Oreochromis niloticus: one gene and its partner. The main gene of each other region encodes a partner of the protein of the gene in region 2 in a complex. Links are inferred from orthologs where the notes say so. Each region holds a gene or a part of one and is shown on either strand. Other genes may lie near its edges.

Evidence for each region.
Region 1: the proteins of cop1 (region 2) and trib1 are in contact, whole or in part, in a crystal structure (PDB 5IGQ), measured with the Homo sapiens proteins. The link is inferred for Oreochromis niloticus from reciprocal best matches to the Homo sapiens genes COP1 and TRIB1. Residues at the interface, in NP_071902.2 of Homo sapiens: Ile423, Ser425, Val441, Lys472, Tyr491, Trp517, Asp534, Ala556, Asn557, Cys559, Ala576, Asp577, His578, Lys600, Ala601, Ser603, Thr618, Lys643, Asn644, Phe645, Phe699; in NP_079471.1 of Homo sapiens: Asp355, Gln356, Ile357, Val358, Pro359, Glu360, Tyr361.

The regions. Positions count from the first base shown.
Region 1 is NC_031985.2:21,527,293-21,539,049, forward strand, and holds the start of trib1 (tribbles homolog 1), read right to left. Parts: upstream 4,494-11,757; 5' UTR 4,053-4,493; coding exon 3,732-4,052; intron 2,936-3,731; coding exon 2,643-2,935; intron 1-2,642. UniProt on the Homo sapiens protein: Adapter protein involved in protein degradation by interacting with COP1 ubiquitin ligase. The COP1-binding motif is masked by autoinhibitory interactions with the protein kinase domain.
Region 2 is NC_031982.2:4,015,054-4,026,278, reverse strand, and holds the start of cop1 (E3 ubiquitin-protein ligase COP1), read right to left. Parts: upstream 5,003-11,225; 5' UTR 4,547-5,002; coding exon 4,179-4,546; intron 4,089-4,178; coding exon 4,029-4,088; intron 2,530-4,028; coding exon 2,432-2,529; intron 1,957-2,431; coding exon 1,892-1,956; intron 1,778-1,891; coding exon 1,658-1,777; intron 1-1,657. UniProt on the Homo sapiens protein: E3 ubiquitin-protein ligase that mediates ubiquitination and subsequent proteasomal degradation of target proteins.

The DNA of each region.
Region 1 (11,757 bases), on a different chromosome or scaffold from region 2:
CACACACACACACACAGAAGTGAACTTACTACGACCTAAGTGCGCCACTGTGATTCCCGTTTAAGAAGCAGAGCTGCCTAAGCAAATTTCCAATGACTTCCTGGCACTCACATGGTCATGTAAACACACATATAAATACACTACACCAACACCCCCCTCCTCCTTCCTTACTCTCACACACACAATGCTATATTTAGCCAAGTTAATGACAGGACGTACATTTAGTCCTGCAGCAGAGCAACTAAGACTGTGAGAGCATATTTTTTTTTCAGGATGAGGTACTCACCACTGAAACGCTCTTGCGCAAAGATAGAACATTTGATGGGAAACTTTTGCCATTTCCATGGGCAAAAAAATATGTCATGCATTTTTCTATGTTTTTTTCCTTTTTACAGCAGCAGATACAGACTGTTTTTAGTTCTAATTTAATTTGTGTATAATGACTGGGGGGGATTTCACCAAGTGAAACGCACATAAAGAGTTCTGTTGTATCTCAGTCTCGGGGGTTCGCCCCAGTGAGACACTTGAGATGTCAGACGGACTGACTGCAGACAAAGAAAAAGCCACGGAGAGAGGATGAAAAGAGTGACAGCCAGAAGGACCAAGACGGAAAAGCAAATGATATTTAAACAGCAAGATAGTGGAGGAGATATGTCAGGAGAGGAGAAAGGAGATGGAGACAGAAAAGGAAACAGAACAGAGAGAGTTAGAGGGGTGGAGAGAATGACTCATCCTACTGTTGAGAGTACATATCTCCTCTCCTCCTCCTCCTCCTCTCTCTCTCTCTCTCTTTCTCTTTCTCGAGCCGAGGCTATCTGCACCTGGGTCCCACACTTGCGGCGCCAGCCATCCCATAATTACCCTCAAATGGCTGTTGCCACATCAGTGACGCACGGGAAGGCTGGCCTGACTGTGAAGCTCTGCATGCTTCAGAGTGCTAGTCACCTTTCCTAAACTGGCTCTCCCAACTGCACTGTGTATGTCTGTGTGTGTGTGCGAGTGTGTGTGCGAATGCAGCTAGCATTTGTCAAAATGTTGTGACTTTCTCTGTCGCTGGCTCGGCCGCTGCATTGTTGGCCAGGACATTGCATCACGGCTTGTGCGCTGGGGTTTGAAAGATGCCTGATTGTGAATTTTGGAGGAATGGATGACGGAATAAATGAGGTCATGCAGAATCGTAAGAGCTCAGTGAGCCTTAAGTTGTTGTCTGTCTGTGTTTGGACAAAAGAGCAAAAGAGGTGATCTCAGGGTGAACAAAGCTGATTTTCTGGAAACGAATACCGCCAAATTCCATTATGTCACGGAGCCGTTTAATGTTATCAGCAAAGCCTGCAGGTTAGTTTTTCAAAGTCACGACAGGATGCTTTTTAGGTTTTTTTGTTTTTGTAGTGGCGCTTTGAAATGTTACCATTAAAAGTGCACAGAGAAGTCTGAATGAGAAAAAAAAGATGCCGTCACCACACATCTTCACGGGTCGAGCGGGTCAGCCTACCAACATTAATGTTGCAGTGCCGTCGCTCCGTTGCCGAAATACTGAATTGCCGGCAACAAGCCACTTGAACTCGCAATGGACCGCAGCTTTACAGCTCTGAATGCGCGAACATGCATGTACGGACACATGCACTCGCACGAAGAAAAAAAGAAAAAAGCTGTGCAACACCCCCCTCCCTCCCCTCTTCCCCTCTGCCCATATACACAGTGACTCATCGCTCTGCAGCCATATAGCTATCAGAGGGACGCGACTAACTTCAACTTCTCTCACTGGCTGTCTGCTCTCATTCATCGACTGTAACCCAGCTAACCCAGAGGTCATGACTGGAGAATGTTACTGTTCAAAAGTCTCCATGAAAAAGGCCCTTTGGAGAGCCGGATTGAGGGGGTGGAGGAGATCAGTGGACGCTTACAGAAAAGAGAGTGACGCAAGGGCAAAGAGGCGACAAACAGTTTTGCAAGCATGGATTTTGTGTATCTTCCTGAACTATATCTGGCACTGGGAGATGCAGGCATTTAGATGTGTGTGTGTGTGTGTGTGTGTAGGTGTGTGTGTGTGGGCGCAGGTTCAAAGCATACTACTTCATGGATGTAAGTGAATGAAATTTTTCTGGACACGCCAGTTATCCTGCAGCATTGCTATGATGTAATTTATTAATAAATGATGAGTAATAAATGCATTCTAAGATATAGACCACAGAAGGTATGATTTTCTCATTCAGCAGCCTCGTCTCGCAGCTCTGCCAAACTGCCACCCACCACATTCACACATGCTTGCCTGTGCACGCGCACGCACACACACACACAAGCATGCAAAACAAACACACAACACTGCATACAAAGAGACACATCGAGAGTGAAATAGGGAGACAGACAGAGAGGGCGAAAATCTGGGAAGCTAAGCAGTCTGCCTCCACAAGTACAGAACCTCCTACTCTATCTGTGCCCACATTGATATCTGCACACATGGCCTGTGCGTGTATCAGCTGCTGCTGTCTTCACTCTGTGTCTTCACTGGCATGTACCACTACACTACACGTTTGAGAGCATTCAAATAAATCTGTATAGCTGAGATCGGTGTTAAGGACTGAGAGCAATTCGAGACTCGTGACAGGTGAATCTGATGCTGCAGTAGGACTTTAAATCCTCACCTTTTGTCATCAGCGAAGACAAACTTGCGTAATTTCAGGTCACCCAGCACAATGCCTGCCTGGTGGCAGTGGGCTACGGCCAGGGCCACCTGACGGAAGAGCCTGCAGGCATGTCCCTCGTCCAGTCGGCGACAGCTCTTTACCAAAGTGTGCATGTCCCCAAAGTCTTTATCCAGGAACACGTAGGCCTTGCGCTCACCGAGGATGATGTCCCTGATGCCGGCCACATTCTTGTGTGCTGGTAGAATACCATAGGCTCTGATCTTTTCCTGGTATACCCCCATATCAAAGACCTGGAAGAAAGATGGGAGGAAAAGGAGGGATGCATGATGGAAATTAGAAAGATGGTTAAGGAGAAGAGAGAGAGTGAGTGTGAGGAGGAGGAGGAGGAGGAAGAGGCAATAGGTCAGTATGTTCTTAATGATCATCTAAGTAAACAACCATGAAAATTTGGCAGCGACATAAAAAAGGCTTGGGATATGCTTTGATTCCAGCTCAATACATTGCTTTTGCAAGCGCATGACAAATGAATCATCAAAGCGTGAAGCGATTAACTTTATTAATCAACAAAGCCAAACGCCTGCAGGTCTATGATGCAAAATAAACAGGGATATGGAACAGTGGAGGACCCTGTCCTTATCGGGAAAGATCCTTATCACGAGAGCCTTTTTTGCCTCACATGTTTGCATTTTTGTGTGTCACAGCGTGGCGTACTGCGATGACGTGTATGCAAATGAGCCCAGTTGACAGACACAGTGCGAAGCACCGGTGCCAAGGATTGGTGGGCTTCAGTATGATAGGCTGAATTTCCACAATACAAAACAGGCAACATAGGGTTTGCCTGCTGTTCCACGTCGTGTAAAAATGAAAGGAGCCTTATCAGGTTCAGACATTTGAAAAAAATTAAAAATATGTATATAATGAAGTAAGACTTTTATTACGCAAATCGTGACACATTTCGCGTGAGAATGACATCTGGTGAAAAAGTCAGCCAAATACGGATGACATGTCAGACAGGGTATTGGGCAACGGGATGTCTTGAAACATCATTCATTCAAAGAAATTGCACAATGACTGGATTGCGCATACCTTACACAGTAGCTCATCACCAGTATCGGTGTTCATCGCGCTGTGCATGCACTCCCGGTCCGCCAGAGGTAGAAGTAGATACGATCCTATGCTGGATGGTCCCTGGTGAGTCGGTGGGACAGAGGTTAAGCCGGGGCTGACCGGGGATCCGGGAGAGGTGCCAAGGAGTCCCTGCGTGTCCCCCGCCTCGGCGCTCAGCCGGGCGCATTTGGCCGGCGGCTGATCGTCTGAGTCCAGCCGCTTGTGCGCGAGTCTCCCCGCGCGGATGCAAGGTGCCCGGCTGCTCCACTGCAAGTTCATCCTGATAGGCCGATTCACCATGAAAGCAAAAAAAAGAAGAAGCGAGGTCCGTCTGCTTTTAGATGCTCCCTTTGACGGTTAAAATAAGCTACAAACTGTGCTCTCCATTTCTCCGTAGAAGACTCAGGACTGGTGACACATAAAAGAAACTTCAGCGGATTTTGGTAATAATCCAAATCGACGTCCTTCTGTAGAGTGAGCGCTCGTGGCTTCTGAGGTCTGTGTACTTTTGGTGAGAGGAAAAAAATCCGATCCCTCAGAGCCCAGAGTCAGTGTTTGTTAGAGAGAGAGGGAGAAGAGAGAGAGAGGAAAAAAGAGAGAGGACACAGAGAGAAAGAGAGACCGCCTCACACTCAAAGAGTGGCTGAGAGTGAGCGAGCTCCAGTGATGTTGAGCTCTGAGCTCAAACACTCCGCCCGACCAGTCCAGCCTCCTGGTGACACAACCATTGAGCAATCCTGCTCAGCGCGGCTCTGATGACACTACCCACTGTATTAGCTTTCTCAGACGACTGCGTGAGCATATGCTTCAAACATTATTTATTTATTTTTCCTAACCAGTGTGTCATGAATCTTCAAATTCCCCCATAAGAGTTTTTTGCTGATATCAAGGAACTTGAGGAACTGATGAGAGGAGTGAAGAAATCATCTGTTACTTATCAGCTGCCTCATCAAGCATGCACATGTTTTAGGCAATAATTAACAATCCTTGAAGCACCTTGTCTGACTCAGTTGTTCCTTAGTGTTCGGCTCTTATTGCCCTTTATTGCCAGTTGTAACATTTTCTCCACAGACCTCTGCGTGGCACCGGAACTGTTTGCTCTCTAAACGCTGGGCTTCAGGTGTGAACCAGCCCATACAAAAAGCTTCAGTGTGCTAGCTTGAACTCTGGCTTTAACAACACCATGATATTTTCCCATGCTGGGCCTGTGGATATGACTCACCCCCATAAAGCTGTAGTTTTGTTGGGCTATAAGAACTCACAGAAAAATATGCCAGCTTGGCTCTGTAAACAACATCATAGCAGCCAGGCTAAGGTGAAACCACTTGTACATCAAGCACCCCTACCAAAGGAGCCAAATGCTGTGCAATTCTTTATGAGAATTATGCAATGATATTGAAAAAAAAATAATAATCAAGTGAACGATGGACCGTTAAGAATTCAAGGGTGAAGTGCAGGATATAGTCAGTTTGAAAAACATTCCTGTGATGAGCGCTGAGACGAGTCGTGTTGGGCAATTATAAATGTGCATGTTTGTGTGCGTTTGTTGGGGTGTGTACACACGCGTGACCATGCGCGTGTTGCGCAAGAGTTCTCTTTTTCCACTGCTTTATGTTGAACGAGCACAGTGGCTGCAGCAGAGGCTCACTGAGCATTCACTGAAAACACAGAGCACCAGCTGGCCTGTGTGCGCGTGTGCACCGTCAAAACTCTTTAGTGCGGCCAATCCTGCCAATCAGAAGCAGGCCGTTCCCAGTCGTTTCTTTTCACATCTCTAACACGGTTCCTTCCACAACATGTCACACACTTAACCGGGTCACAGCGGTTGGGCACAGCTTGACTCAAAAAGGTCATGCAAACCTGTTTCTGCAGGCTGTCCAAACATGGATGAGCTGCAGATTCCATAGGAATGATGGCTGTTATTTTTAGGCCTTGCATTCTTTCTTTGCGCGGTGGTCGTCCTACGAAAAAGGTGACTCACTCAACTGATTGATGCATGCGTGTCTCTATGAGCAAGTGTCTTTGTCATGCTGCTGAGCAGGCAAGGGAACAGGTTTCCTCTCTTTCTGCCTTCCCTCTTTCTCTTTTTAAGAAGTTGAACAAACAGGATGAGCAGTCACTGTGGGAATGGGAGGCAGAGGTACTGAAGGTTTATTGTTATGTGACATCAAAGTGATTATGTGTGTTTGGAGTCTGTTTGTGCGTGACACGGTGTTTAGGAGGATACTGGAAAAGCTGACTTATTTGTGTTGGCTGTGATTAAAAAAAGCTTGTGTGTGCATGTAATGTCACATTTTGTATCAGTGTAACTGAGAGTTCACGCTGGAATCACATCACGCAAAGTCACATCAAGATATGTGGGCTGTGGATTACACAATATAGATTTTATTGCCGAACAGCAGGTTGTAGCAGTATATATAGCCGGTCAGCCAGTGTGTGCCTCATGGTGTGTGTGGGTATGTGTATGTATACGGTGCCTGAGTAGGAGTGTTACTGAGTAGCCAGTGAGCTAGAAGTGAAAACAGTATTCAGGGCATGATCTTCCTTGTTATAATTAGCTGAGTCACTCACCACTGGCAGCAATAAAGAGAGACTGGGAATTGATCTGCTCTGAGAATAGTTCAAGTCTGATCTGGCTGACATCCAGCCATCACTGTGGGTTACTTTTCATTCATGCTCATTTTTACCAACGTACACAGACACATGCAATTAACGGAGCTGCAGATGTGAGACAGTAACTCAAGTTAGATGTATAGTCACCTGAATCACTCCTGACTGCCTGCTTTAAACTACCTCTTTCTGTTGATACTTTAGATGCTTCATAATAATTTAAAAAAACAGTTAAATCTTCCGTATGTTATCAGTGTTAAACATGACGAGTAAACAGTCAGCATGTTTCTTTCATGTGTGTTTTAAATTTATTTTACTAGCAAAACTGTTACTGGTTAGTTTACTGTTTTGTAATATGTTAAAAAAAAGATTTCTTTTTATTTAGAACGGTATTATTTTTCTTATTTTGACCCAAAAAAGCAACATCGATGAAATGACTGAGAGGATAAATAACTGTCAAACTGAGCCATACATACTGCACTTTACTCGCATCTATAGCCAAATTAGAATCACCAGTTGACCTAACATGTATTTCTCTGGACTGTGGGAGGAAGCCAGAATACCCGGAGGTAACCTATTCTAACACAAGGACAGCATGCAAACTCCACACAGAAAGGCCCCGCAGCCAGGATCTGAATGAAGAACCTCTGCGCTTGTGTTACCCACTGCACCAATGAATGCTAGCGTCTATTGACATAACCTGACTTCATGCAATTGAAGGAGAAACATCTGTTAGCTATCTTGATGGTGACACCACAGAAATGGTCCCGTTATCGCACGTTTGTTGAGTTCAGTTAAGTAATTTAGCATTAATCTTTTTCTATTAGTTGTTTTGGAGACAGACGCGAGCATGTTTGGTCATGTCTGACAAGCAAACACATACTTGGTTAGCCAGGTGCACCCGTAGAGTCCATTCATGCATTGCAGAGAAACAAACAAACTTTGACTGAACATTGACCGAAGCACTGTTACTAAACTTGACACAAAACTATTCATATCCTTTTCAGTTAATTGCATGAAAACTGCTCCAAAAGCATCCCGACAGTGAAAAAAACGGAGATCCAGATCAGTCACGCTAGCAGGCTAGCAAACAGCTAGTGACTGGATAAGCACCCACTTAAAAGGGGATACACCACTTTTTGCAAAGCTTTACGATTTAAAATATTTTGAATCTTCTATACATATTTACCTGATGTAAAGCCCCAAACCTTTTTTTCCCAGCATGTTTATTTCAACTGTAAAGTCTGACATTTTGAGACAGGAACTGACCCAAACGTGCCACTTTCACTTTCATTTTTAATTTTAATTTTTTCGTTTACATCTATTGTTTGTAGTATGCACGTATTTGCTAACATTGTTAAAATTATTATCATTGATTTTAGTGACTGCACCGCAAATCTTAAACCCCTCCCCCAGAAAACTCCTCTGCAGCAAAGAAAAGCTGATCTGTATTTCTCTGACAAAGTAACAGCTTCACAAAGTTCATGATATCAGGTAAGTATAATTACAGCTGAACTTGGATCCTATTCTTGTAAATCTGGAAGAAGCAGAAGGAAGTAGGGACATTATATGAGTCTTTTCACAAGCCAATCATTTCCACTGTTGGTATCATGCAGCTTGTTTTCTTTTATGACATTTGTAAAGTAGAATTTGTTTTCTCCAAATGTCTGGTTGTCTGCCATTACCATTGTTTCTCTGGCCGGCTGACAGTTTGCTATGAATGCTGAATTAGAGTGTGGGAGATAGAAGTGGGCCAGTGGATTTTAAACTGCATGCTTACAATAAAAAATTATTGCCTTTCTATTCTGTCAAGATAAAAATTCTGCCTCTAAAACAAAAAAAATGGTCTAAAAGCATTCAGTACTCCTCTTTTCTAGTGTCTATTCTCACATAAGCTCCCAGATTGTGAACTGCGTGAACTCAAGTGTTGAGGTCCCAACCAAAATTAGCCATCAATCCGCAACAATCATTTCTACTGAATATGCTCTATATTTTTACAACCTAGACTGACCTCAAGGACAATCAATCAAACCAGGAGCTGAGATGGAGATTGTTTCATGTGGAAGGACTCCAGACTGTAGTCTGGCCAAAAATTTCTGCCGTCCTTGTTAGTTATCCCAATCTGTCCATCACGTTTTCTTTCATCTTTTGGGTTGAGACACGGTTGGTTAGCTTAGACTCACCGGCTCCTTGGCAGCACAGATATTTGTGCTATTCAATCCCAGGTTAGGTTTCATGCATCCTTTTAATTTTTACAATATGCTCAGCTCAGGTTTTATAGCATTAATTGTTTTTACACTGGAACACACCCCGACACATTGTTCCCCTGTGATTGAAAACATTTGTTCTCACACAGGGGAGTTGTCATATTTGCACATACTCAGCACAAAGCCTTCCCCAAATGTCTTCTGAGAAGCTGTAAAGTTAAGCTGAAAAATTAAATTCTTCATCTGCTGTCCACAGAGTGTTCACATGAAGTGCTATGTAATGTTAATATGTCTTTTGTGGCTGACAGTTCTTGTAAATGAATGATTGGCAAAGCAAACCTACATGCTTTGTCATCTTTTTTGTGGTTCAGAAGGCAGGAAGTTCCTTTAAATGTTTTTTCTTTGTATATTTTGTCATATTAAGAGCCTGAGTTGAAGGCATCTGGGTTTTGTTTATAGGTTTTTGAAGACCTTGCAATGAAGGCGCTTCTTCAGTTTTACCAGCTGATAGGGAGTCCCAGGATTTAACCCTGTGTTCTGAGAGTCGCCAACCATGTCCTCATCTGAGTTGTTAGGGTTGCAAGAGCCAAGGTGTGACTTCTTTGTGAAACTTTGATAGTCTGATAAAAAGACCACCTCCAAGGTGACAGATCCATGAGAGATCCATGTAGGTATTCCCTATCAGTCTTCAGAACTAAAGAAGCCTCTCAGATGAGAAAGCAAACATCTTCAAGTCAAGCACTCAAGACTGCCATGATCTTCCTGACTGAGAACCTATAATATTTTTCTTCTTCAAATTTCCGACCAAATAGTACTGATATGTTGTCACAAAGCACTCATAACCTGCACAAACTAAGGGGATCAAGGCATTGTTTTAGTTTAACATTTATTTTACATTCACAGGAGTTAATTGCAGTAGGTGCAAGACCTGTTATCAAGATGGACGCGTAACCCTCCTGAACAAAAGCTATAAACATATTTAGAAGAATCAAGTAGGCGTTAGCTTTCGTCTAGAAGTGCAGTGCAAAAGGCATGTTTAGAGGTGGAGGCAATAACCTGTCAGCAGTTTCGTGGGGCGTGGAGTTATCTCCAACAGTGTAAATCCACAAATGACTTTTAGGGCAGTGTGTTGTCCAGAGCACAGGTGTAGTATTTGACCATAGTTGGGAACGGCTTCTTCAGACCTTTCAGTGTAGTAAACATAACCTGAGGTTATTGATATGAGTTCTGCTTTGAGCAAAGAAAGTTTTTTGGTTATTACATGATGGGTAGATACACTAGCTATAACATGGTTGGTCTACAGTTTTTTCTGGTTTAACCAGTTTGAGATCTGGTGATCATGTAGGCCATCACTACTCAACCTATGGCCTGTGGACCGAATCATGGCCCACTATAGGCTCTTGTCTTGGCTGCTGATCAATTTGTAATTGTAAAGATGTTTTTGACGTGACTGAGGATGTATGAAGTCTTTTGGACCAAAAAACCCCAACTTTGTAGCTTTTGAATGCAGTGAAATATATTATTCTATATATACACTGACCTGCCACTTAATTAGGTACACCTCGGCAGCTGCTCATTGATGCAAATATCTAATCAGCCAATCACATGGCAGTAATCTAAGTATAAGTATTCAGACACGGTCAAGACACCCTGCTGAAGTTCAAGCTGAGCACCAGAATGAGGAAGAAAGTGAGTATAAGTGAGTTTGCTGGTGCCTGAGTATTTCAAAAACTGCTAATCTACTGGGATTTTCCCACACAGCCAACTCTAGGGTTTACAGGGAATGGTACACCAAGCAGCTGTTCTCTGAATTAAAATTTCTTGTTAATATCAGAGGTCAGAAGAAAATGACCAGCCTATAATTCACACAGGCTCACCTAAAGTGGACAACAGAAGACTGGAAAAAGCATTACCTGGTCCAATGCAACATGCAGATGGTAGAGTCAGAACTAGGAGTGAACAACCTGAAACATTAATCCATTCTGCCTTGTATGGTTCAGGCACTGAGTGATTTTCTTTGATTATTTTTAATTAATTTTTGTTTATTAACCAGCTACTTGGCCTCTGAGCCTTTTCCATTAACTAGTTCACCTGGTTGAGAAGATAACTCATGCATTGGTGTTTAAAAATCCTTATGAGTAACTCTGTAACCCAGACTCTACTAACACAATAAACTCATGCTTGTAGTTGAAAGCAGGCTGGTGTAACTAGCTGATTATTTTTTTTGTGACTATATAAGCAGCACTAATAATCACACAAGACAAACACAAAATAGCTTAAAGATCCTACGATCTTACACATAAGAGGCTAAAATGACTTTGAAGATGAAAGAAGTGCACTGTGTGAGAAAATGGGAATTACGTTCACCCACTGTAACCCACCAAACTCAAAGCGAAACAGCGCAGTTATCCTTTCTTGGTGCAATAACGCAATTTAACTGGAAAACTCACATGTATCAGGCAACCCCCCTTAAGCCCTACATCAGCAGAATTTCATCTGAAAAGCTCAGCTCACTTCCCTTCAGGTCCCAAGAACAAAAATTTCACAACTCTGTGTTTATCAGTCACTCTTCGACACATGATTTCACTGAAATAGCTCGTCTTACTCTCAGAGTTCCACTCCAGGATGACTCAAGGGGTTTCCTGTTGTTAATGGGAAGTGAATGACAATTGTGTATGCATGTGTGTGTGTGTGCTGTAGCCACAAAACACACACGTCACCACCATACTGTCTCCGGCCTATCATTGAGGTTGCACAAGCAGCCTTTGCTCAGACAGGCCGAGTCCGTGATGTCACTGTCAGTGGAATGAGAAAACACAGCGAAAGGAAACAAGAAGTGCATCGCGTCATTTGTCCGCTCAGTTGAGGAAAAAGTGTCGAGGTAGGGAAGTAGAGGAGACCGATTACAGACCAGTCAAAATTATCAGTCCAGTTGATTTGACGGCCTCTGTGTTACCATAAAGTCACAGCGGCTTTACACTGATTGGCTGAGGTGAGAAAAGTTAAGGGGATCAGCAGAGCCATTAAGATTCTTTTTATGGTTGCATCAACGATAGAGGTGGCCTGCCCCACTGGTAGACCATAGAGACTGTAGCTAAAAATATGTAAATGCCTCTGATTTTCTTCACTTGTCCTTTCTCTTCTTAGTGTTGCCACTCGTACCCTTTCCCCCTGGTGTCACTCGCTTT
Region 2 (11,225 bases):
TTAAATCTAAAATGTTGATGTTTTTTAAAAAAATATATTTCAGGTTTGGATAGATGAGCAACAACCGTAAATACAGGAGGAATACTAACAAAACATCAATCAAATAGACAGTTAAGTTGCGGGGACCTAAATTTGACTGATATAAAATATCTACATGGAATCTAAAACTGGCAAATCACAACTGATTAAATAAGAAGAATTACACTCTAAACAAAAACAAGCCCAATCAGATAAAACTAGAAACATGAAATATGTCCAGAGGCAAATTATCACACACATGCTAACAATCAATCAGCAATGTGTCCTGTATACAGAATAAGCAGCAAGGCAAAGGAAGACTATTGACTATATACAATATCACGGCTAACTATGGAGCCCTTATTTCTAAACTAGCTTGGACATTCTATTAACATATTGACAGATACCAATACATAAGCCTAAACTTAGCTGAATTACTGGGCTTGCTCTTGTGTGAGTCTGTCTGTTTGCATGACAGTCAAACAGTGACACACTGCATGTGTTTGTGTGAAAAAGAAACAGAAAGACGAGCATGTGCTTGACAGCGAGAAAGCTCAAGGCGCCATGTAGCGCCATCTGAAAATCTGAAAGACATGTTTGTAGCATCCATACTTGCAATTCAAAAGCAAAGACTCCCATTTCAAAACTGGTTTGGATTTTAGATCTCATTATCAATGCAAGTCTTAGATAGTGCTGATGAAATCCAAGGTTGTAAAGTCCTACTTCTCTTTTTATGTCACGTAAACTGACAAAAACAAAAAAAAGGGATGTCTGAAACTGCCCAGAAACCTTCTGACAAAAGTAGCATCTTTACCATTGCTACCAGTACTATATACACACAATGCCTAATTTATTATGAACATCTGAAGTCTAACGCAACCCAAAAGAACTTCTTTCTGCCAGGAAGTCTGACAGAGTGACGTATTTAATGTAATGGACATCCTGCTGTATTGGAGTGCATTATACCATGAAACGTTTGTCACATTCTGTAAAAGGGAACACCTCAATAGTGCGGTCTGATACAACGATGACCTTGATAGCAAACACATTATTGCACTACATGTCGATCAGTGTCATCAGAAACTCAGAATATTACACAACTTCTGTTTGATTCAGTTTAAACAGATCAGAACCCACTGCCTCCAAAACAACAAGGTCTTATCTGCACGTGATAAATTTCATTTGTTGTCTTTCCAGAACAAAAAAGTGGACATTCAGTGGATATTAAAACATTTCCATTATGTTTTATATTACTGATTGTATTCCACTGTTACAACCTTGTGATAACATTTAAAGAATTAATTTAGAGAACTTGTAAAAGGTTTAACAAATTAAAAAAAAAAAAAAAAAAACCACTTTAACTTTATGCTAAAAATAATTAACCCTCTCTAATTCTGTCTCCTCACTGCATCTTGCATTTTTCACTGAAACATACAAGCTCTGTGATCATGTGATCAGTTTCATGATAAAACACAACAGCCATTAATTATGAACCTCCTCGGTTTGCACGGATTGCATTAACGAACTTTACATAATTTTAAAGGAAAAAAAAAAACCCTCCATCGCAACCAATGAAAAGCTAAAGAGCCAAAAAAATGAAACAAAAACAAAGAAATGCACAGATTAGCCTCTCACTTACCGCTTCCAGCTGCTTCTTCTTCTGAAGCAGCAGCTCGAGCATCAGGTTGACATTTGCCAGGTCCAAGTTCTCCTGATCAGGACTCAAAACATCCTGGAAGACCTGCCACCGAGACCCATTCTGAAGGTCAGAGACACTGATCAGTTACAAGTAACAAAACATATTTTTAAAAAGCTTGACATCTTCACAAAAAGAGAAAAAAATCAAATCAGTTTGAGAACATGCTGTACTCACTGGATGATCTAACTTTAGCCTCTTCTCTTCTGACCTCTGTTTTTGTTTAAGGATCAGTTCATTTACTGGGATGTGGTGAGGAAGTTGTGGACAAGGGATAAATAAGAGAGGAGGAACAGTGGAGTAAGTATATGACAAAGAGACTGTCACAGCTAAGGAACAACACATCTGCAGAGACATTTTACTTGTGATGAATAAAAGAAAAGTGGCAGCGACATCTTTATCATTATGCATTTAAATACCTACACAATGCATTTCATTAGATTTTTGTTTGGCCCATTTATGAGACAAAACTTTCAATTTTGACTTCATTCAAATACGAAAGCCTCATTTTAGTAGTGATTATGAGCTAAAGACAAATCTATTCAAATATTGTGATTTTAAAAATCATTAAGTCCAAAACTGACATAACAGCTATATTTTAATGTCCAAGTTAAAATGAAAAGCTCTGAGAAAAATGATTAGTTTAGGAGCTGATCATCTGACTGTTAGAAAAAACCCAAAACAAAACAAAAAATCCCTCCAGTTCAAAATACCCACCAAGAAAGTTTGGGTAGACCTGATCCACATTATCGATAATATAGTTACACTTGGGACATCTGTTGCTGTCCTCCAGACTCTGGCGGATACACTTGAAACTGCAGGATGGAGAGAGAGAATAAATAAATATTATGGACTCCAGCTCCACGTTTCAGTCCAAGATCTTACAAGATTAGCTTTAAACGAGTCATAGTCAAAATAATCTTTATTCATCCCATACTGGGCCTTCTTCTGATTATATGTGACCCTCAAAAACAGAACTTTTGCTCAAAGCCAGAGCTCTGATCCTGTTAAGGATATCTGCTCGCACCGACATCACCAGTGAGTAGACAAACTATCGCAAACTGAGGCATAACTTGCTAATGTGCTGATGTCATTACTTGGATCTTTGGTCATGTTTATTATGAGCATTGAAAAACGAGCCCATTAACAGAAATGAGAATCACTGCAAGCAAACACAACAGGCATAAAGAACACTGAGCCAACTGTGGATTACCAGTAATCATGTTAAGCTTTACCATAACTTTGCTGAAGAGTCTACAGGCTTATATTCAGCTTAAGACCATCTACTGTCATTAAAAACTAGTTAATGTTTTTGCTCTGTTTTTTTGTTGTTGTTGATGTTGTTTTTAATTATTACAACCAACTTTGCAGTTTGAACCTTTTCCTTTTTGCTTCTTATCAAAATGCAGTGTGGATGACTTAGTTCATTCATTTACTTTCTATAATTAAAAGAAAATGTGCTTACATAAAATAAAAGTCTCTTATATCTTAGACTAGATTAAACATCCGTCATTTCATTATCGATCAAAATAATTGGGATTTTTGCCAAAATAAAGCACTCCTTCCAGTTGATTTTACTGATTCCGGTGGCAATAGCCATTGTGCTTACTTTTTTAATGTTAGCCTAATGAATCCTGATCAATTCTCTGTGCAAAACAAACAGCAAGCCTTTACAGGCTTTTGGCATTAATGAAAAGTTGAATTCAGGGTTTTTTTTTTCACCTTGAATAGAAAACAATATTGGTGGCATCCTCTAAAGGAAAATTACCAGGATTATAAATTAGTTGGACATGTTTTAACCGTAAGCTTGCTTTTCACTCATTAAACTCCCAAAATAAAATGCAGAAATGTACACCAAACAGACTCGCTGCTTTAACCAATCTTGCTTTTGCAGCGTCACCCCTATTTTGAGTCAGAAAAACTCTTGGGTCTGACCAGAGACGAAGTGAGGCTTGCATGGTGTACAAAACTTGCATTGTATGGGTTTGATGTTGTTATTGTCATTAAAATATAGCAACACTGATGTGATGGACTGTGATTTGGAACTTCCTCTAGAAGCCCATCTGTAACATTAAAAACATGCCCAAACTTTAAAACAAAATGCAAGAACAAAAAAATACTATAAAAAAATATTGTCAAAAGTTTTTTTTAAAGTGCACAGTAATCAGCTGTAAGTATGGATCCCCGCAGAGTGCATGGTTTGTCTTAAAGATAACTTTGTTCCTTCAGTCTGTGACATTTGTTGCTCTTCAGCATTTGTGACACTGTCGAATACTTTGCTGTGCATCATTTTCTCTACAACACAAACACTCACCAAAAACTGTGCCCGCACTTCGTCATGTGTGCCTCGTCTATCATTTCGAAGCAAATGGGACTGGAAAAACAAGCAGAAACCCGAGTCATCGTGCAGCTCTCAAACTTTTACGGAACTCACCCCAAAGCTCGAGTGCAATACAAAACTAACCAGACGAAGTCGTTGCTTTTATCTTCGTATGAATTCAAGAGGCCGTTGTACAGTGGTGCCTGATGCAGGGATCTCTTTCTGTTACCAGAGGACGCAGACGGTCTGCTGAGAGAAGCTAAGCCGCCCCGGGGTGACGGCACGGCGGCCAGAGTTGGCACTGACAGGCCGCCCTCTCCGGCCGCTGCCAGGGTCCGTGAGGGCACAACATTTCCAGAAGTGCTCCCATTACTTGTGGGAGCGCTGCTGCCACCGCCACCGTTTGTATTCCCAGTGCCTCCTGTACTACTACTGCTGCTGCTGCTGCTACTTGTGCTGGGCACTGAACTCGCCCCAGCAGCGCTTTGCTGTGGCCGGTTGCTTGACATCATACAAGGCCGACTAGGAACTCCCCAAATCCGCTGCGTTGCTATTCAAAGCATCCGGAAAGAGCAGCTATTTGGCTACTTTAGCAGATTTGCTAGCTAGCTGGTTTGCTTATGTGCTAACATCCTGGGAGAAATACAAGAGTGGCCAAACATCCAGCGGAGAGAAAAAAAAAAAAAAGGTTGGCCGTCGATGTCTGGTTTAACGCTTGTCACTAACGGTGAATTCCAAGATCGCTGGACTCTAAACAGAAAAACACAGACCAACACTGTAACGGCCAAGAAAATAAGAACGGCTGCGCTGTTCAGGAGATTATCCGGCTAGCTACTGTTAGCAACAGAGAGAGTTTCCTCGATTACTCGGGTACCAGCAATCCAAAACCTGGTTTTAAACTATCGCCCCCTAGCGAGAAGGAGTTTAACCGCGCTGGTGGAAATGTAGACTTCAGGGAATTATCCACTCAGAAAAAAAAGAGCACAGCTTTTAATTTGTCTTTCAGTATGCCAGTCCTAGTCTCTATAACTGTTTTAATGCTTACATCATTTAATTATCCTGTTTAAGTAGTATCATAAAGGATATAATCATGTGACCCATGGCATGAAAAACAGACAGCAATGTTTATTGGAATGCAATGTAGCAGGGCTGAATTAAATACTATCCTCGTATTTAACACAGGGGATTTTCTCAGTGTTAATAACAACACTTGGAAAAGGAGTTTGTTTATTTCACTTCATGCTATGTTATGTTACTCTGTAAAATACTTTTTTGCGATGTGATTATATTATTGTTATTGTTATTATTATTATTATTATTATTATTATTACATGTTCTGTACTATGTTGTAAAGTCTAGTTATAGTAATTCAACAGAAAAAATGACTTTGATTATGGAATTTTAAACATGTGTGTTGTTTTATTTCCTTCTTTTATTTCTATTTTTGTAACCCCTTGAAACAGTTTGTGTGAAACACAATTATCTCAGCTGAACCTAGAATTACTAGCTTTTTTATAACTTCCTGCCAATACTGGCTTTCGCTGCTATCCAAAGCTCAAATCATGCTAGGAGGTTCTGAGATAATGTCCCTGGAAGCTTTGAAGAAAATTGGATGAACAGGTGCACATGTTTACAGAGATTCCTTGATTTATTGGAGAAATATAATACGATGAAAACGTCCAGTTCATAAACTCAACTAACAACATGTAGCCATGAAAGTTAGTCAGGTAGCTAGTTAACATACAAACAACAAAAGAACGTCAGGCAGGTACACATATTGCATGTATGCATTTTTGTCATCTGCAGTTCTAGATTCAAGATTAAAGACTCTTTTTTGTTTATATCATTATATTTAATGACACAAATCTTGAAAATATATATACTATAAGACTGGGATTTAAAAATATCGCACACTTGACTGAACATGATTTATTTACAGGCTATGTGTATCTATAAGTAATGTGTATACCTGAGGGATGTAATAGTGTGGAGTGGTAGAAAAGTGTACTTCACAAACAGCTTCCACAGCATGTCTTTTATCCTGTCTTCCTTCTCTCATCCCAACCGGTCGCAGCAGATGGCCCCGCCCCTCCCTGAGCCTGGTTCTGCCAGAGGTTTCTTCCTGTTAAAAGGGAGTTTTTCCTTCCCACTGTCACCAAAGTGCTTGCTCATAGGGGGTCATATGATTGTTGGGTTTTTCTCTGTATGTATACTGTAAAGTCTACCTTACACTATAAAGCGCCTTGAGGCGACTGTTGTTATAATTTGGCGCTGTATAAACAAAATTTATAATTGAAAAAGGTTTTTACATTTTTTCTAAAATGTACTGCATATGCAGATGTAAACTTCCCTCAGAGGTCACTGACATTTTCAGTGCAAAAATCCAGGTGAAATGATAAACACATCTAAAAATATTGCCACATATAAAAATCCATAACGAGAGGATCAAATGAAGAGTTTTGTGTAATCAGCATCCACTACTGAATAAAAGGCCGGTAACTGTGATAGAACACAGATTCAGTTGTTTAACACATGAATACTGCGTCAGAATTCACTTTTAAGTTAAGAGGTAAGTACATCTCAAGAATCAGACGTGCATCTGCAGCACCACAGATGCACGTCTCTATTTAAGAAATGCCTCCAAATATTACAGAGATTTCTGTCCACCACTCAAATGCACAGTGGCTCCCGTGCTTGTCATTCTTTCCAGATTGCCTTTTTACATTAAAAAAACAAAAAAAATCAAGCAGGTAGGTCACATCCACAAAGTGCAGCCAGGGGCCGAGCCAACACAAACAGCATCGTGTCATTCAGGCATCCACCTGCAGCTTTGCAAATAGAACCCGAGGAGCACTAACATATTCACGCTCACAGTTTGTCCAGCCTGCTACTTGATTTTTCCATTTTTACCTCCATGTGGGCAAATAAGGGGTCCTCCACGTAGGCACGCACGACATTGGATTTTCCCATGTTTTTGTTTGCGGAAAGAAGTTTATATGTTTCATTATGGAGCTCAGTTAGGATGGAGAGTAAGTTTTTTTTCTTTTTCAGCTAGAGGAAAGTTACTGAGTACGTCGAAGAGCAAATGAGTTTCTCTGAGAGGGGACCACCATGTTAACGGGCTTCCTCTGTGCTGCATGCAGGCGGTGAATCATGCTGAGTTTAGAAGAAGCCAACGGAAAGTCACTGTGCTAATATCAGCAGCGATGCAGTTTTCACAAAAGCTCCAAAAAGGGGAAACTTGTGTCACTTTTTTCATTTTTCAACGAGGCTTTACAGATCGGTAGAAAATATAATTTCAAAGAAACAAAAAAGGCAGTGAAAGTGTGAAGCTTCCAAGCAATGAAGCAAATGTTGCAGCTATTGATTTGAACACCCTCATCGCTAAATCCTGAATCCTTGGAGTAAAACACCTGCAGCACTGTCCACACACTGTGCTTCATGTGCCTTCCCCCTCGGCCCATCTCCCTGCCCCACTTCTATTTCACACCAGTGGTGGTGAAAAGCACTCTTTTCTTCTTTCTTCCCCCTTCTCATTTGTCCTCCGCATCAGCCTGGATTTTCTCCTATTGGGCCCCCCCTCTTCCTTTTTTTTTTTTTTTTGCATGAGGATCCAGGTTGTGTGTGTGTGTAGAAAAGAGAGCACGAGGGGAAGGGGACATGGAGCTGGCCTCGGGGTCGTTGGGGTCAAGACGGACAAGCTGAGATGAAGGATAATCTGTGGAGGTCCCTTACAGTGGGGGGTGAGGCCCTGGAGGAGCACGCCCATTCAGACGCTCTACCAGACACCCCACTCCCTTCTATGGCTCTCTTCCTCTCTTTCTCTTCTGCCTCTTCTCCTCCATCCTCTGTTTTTGTTGGAAATTTAAAGTCCCCCTCCCCCTCTGATTTCTCTTGTCCCCCTCTTCCTCCAAATGCAGTTGCAGCTGGATTTCAAAGGGCACTTCTGCAGCAGAGAAAGCTGAATGTTTAGCAGCCAGGCTTGGTTTGTGGAATTCCTGCCTCCCACTCTTTAGGAACCGTTTTTTGCCCCTTCAGGGGCCCCTGCCATAACTGCCGGTGGCCTCCCCCTCCTCCTCCTCCATTTCCATCTCCAACCTTGAGCCAGGGCCCTGTTGGCAAATTGAGCTTGACAAAAAAGTAAAATAGCAGGGCCTGAAAGAAGGAGGCAACACTTTAGAAGGTGTGGAACAACAAAAAAGTGGCCTACAGGAGGCCGTTTTTTGTTTGTTTGTTTTGTTTATTTACTATTAAAGATTTAATTACCACTTAAAAGATAAATAATGACTCATTCATAAAAAAAATGCAAACCAATACCACAGTGTGCAGTTTCAAGACTTTAAAATCATCTGGTGGAATATCACTTCTTAGTGATTTTTAAGGATCAGTATAGATTTTGTTTGCAGCTTCTGGAAACATTACAGTGAGCACACCTGTCTTTTGACTTAGACTGCCTGCACAACATGCCAAAAGCTATTTTCCCATTTGTAAGGTATTCATCATGGCTTGAGATATTCATCAATGCACGATAAGCTTCAGAGCTGGCTCGGAAATGACAAAGAATTCAAGGACACCTGCAACACTTTAAATGCATGTTTTCTGTTTGTTTGCCTTCGAATGCAAAAGTAGTAGCATTACTGAGTTTCTGCCCGAAACACGCTTACATGCACGACCTCTAAAGGCAGGGGGAAAAAAAACAAACAGGGTGAATATTGAGGTTGAAAGAAAACGAGTTGACCATTAAAGGGGCCTTTCATTTGCTTTTGTGAGAGACTTCGACCACAGCCCTTCCTTCTTTCAGAGGACAGACTGCTCCTGATAATGGAAATTACAAAAAAAAAATAAAAAAATCAGCTGGACCTTCAGTAGTTTTTTTTTGTCATTTTTGCATAAAAAACAGTATCAAAAGATAGTAAAATGTCTTTTTTTGTTGTTGTAACATTTCATTATGCAAGTATATGTCTGCATGTATGCAGATGCACACAGCTTTTCATAGAATCTGTTCACTGGGCACCTACAAACGGACAAATCTGTGTGCATTATTTCACCATCATCCACCTTGGTTTAATTTCTTCCTCTCTGCCAGTGCTTCCACCCCTTTTTTCAGCCTTGGCCCACACGAGCACAAGAGTTCAGCACAAAGCAGGTAGCATATTTGGATGGTAAAACCCCCCCCCAAAAAAACCTTTTTCACGTGCAGGACAGATGTTGTGCCTGTCTGTGCTGTACCACTGAAGAGAGCCAGAGTGTGAGTGTGTGAGTGAGACTGCAGGAGAATGGGCAAGGGAGAGAGAATGAGGGAGGGAGGGAGAGGAGAAGGAAAAGGAAAAGGAAAAGGAAGAGAGAAAGTTACTCAAACTTTACCTATTTCATTTAGGGGTAATTTGTGTGTGTGAGAGAGAGAGAGGGGAAAGGAAAGAGAGTGAGGGAGGGTCATAGGGAGAAAACACTTCTCCTCCCCCATCCCAGCCACCATCATTCATCGTTTGCCAGGTTAGAGAGTCCCATTAAGAAGACACGGACAGCAAATCATATACTGCAGCTTATGCTGCGATTGTTTTCTACTCAATCTGACACCAGTTTACACAGTAATTCACTGTGTGACTTATGAATATCATAATGTAAATATACATTATGTAATATTGTAGCATAATATAGTATAATATAAGGTATTAAAACTTAGTTGTGCTTGTGCACTTGTCCACGCACAAGTGCACTTTTTTCCTGGACCATTCTCCACATTACCAGACGCATAAATGTTTCAAAATAGAGGAGGACCTCAGACCTCACTTTAACCTCACTTTAACTCTCTGAGCTCAAAGCCATCATTGGTGATGACCCCAGTTCCAACCCCTACCAGTAGCTATAACTCTAACCCCGTGCAATCAAGCTAAGTCATTTTTTCATTGCTCTCCTTGGAACTTCCAAGTCCAAAGTTGAAGTAAATCACCATGGAGGTGGCATTTGAAGAATGAGAGCCTAATTTTACTCACATGTAGCAGAACAAATCTTTACAAGCTGGTTCCTCTACCTCCGCAAATACATCCAATGTCAAAGAAATGCAGTGGATTCATAAGCATCCTGTAAGGTTAGAAGGACGTCACATGAACTATATTTGCTGTTTGGTTTGGATTTCTCCAGCCTATTTGCATGTTTAGCAGCAGTCTTGCATTGCCACCTTTACTAGAGTAAAAGGGCCAGGATACTTCTCCCACCGCCAGTGATGATGGATGGATGGGTGGATGGATGAGGTCAGGACAAGAATAATAAATGTATGAATAAACTTTACAGCCTTTTTCCTCTCTCAACTCTGGATCAGAGGGATGCACAGCGCAGCAGCAGCAGGACTGGCCAGGAAGGAGAGAAGAGAGGAGAGGATTTCCCTTGTAAAACTCAAGTGTGAGGGAGCGGGTAGGACGCCTCCCCCTCCTCCTCCTCCATCACCACCACCACCACCACCACACTTCCCCTACCGGTGATGTCAGGGCGGGTAGGGGCTCCCTGATAAAAAACCTTTGGACTCGGGAGAATGGGAGAGAGAGAGAGAGAGAGAGAGAGAAAGAGAGAGAGGTGAAGGAGTGAATGGAGGAGGATATTACTACAACTGCATAAACCGGTGGAGAGGAGCAGCAGCAGCAAAGAGCGCACAGAGACGCACAAGAAAAAAAGAGGAGCTCGAGCGCAGACGCAGAACTCTGATTGACTCTGATGGACTAACACATTTGTCCTCTTACAGAATTTATAGGGACGCTCAACAAGTGGGGCTTTTGCTATTTGAGGGCTGGCACTTTGCACTGCGCTTTAATTTTTTCTGCTCTTTTGCAGTGCTTACGCCGATTCCACCTTGCGGTCAGATTTTTTTTTTTTTTTTTTTTTTTTTTTTTTGGAACAGGACGCACTAAACTGATGCCGCAGTGGTCAGGTAAACAGAAACAGCAGGTCTTGAGCAAAGAGGGAAACCAGATTTCAGATGATTTTATGATTTAGGCAAATTTTCCAATGTACCCATATTTTACTTCTTCATAAAACAAACATTTGCGCTGATAATTAATTCTAACATACTAATTCAGTCCGGTGTTTCTTTACCTCGTGGGCTTTGTGAAAGGCTTGCACAGATAGTTAGGTGTATGCTCTTTTCCATCTAAGCTGAAATAAAGAGTCAGAGGCTGCAGGTATACTGCGGACACGCAC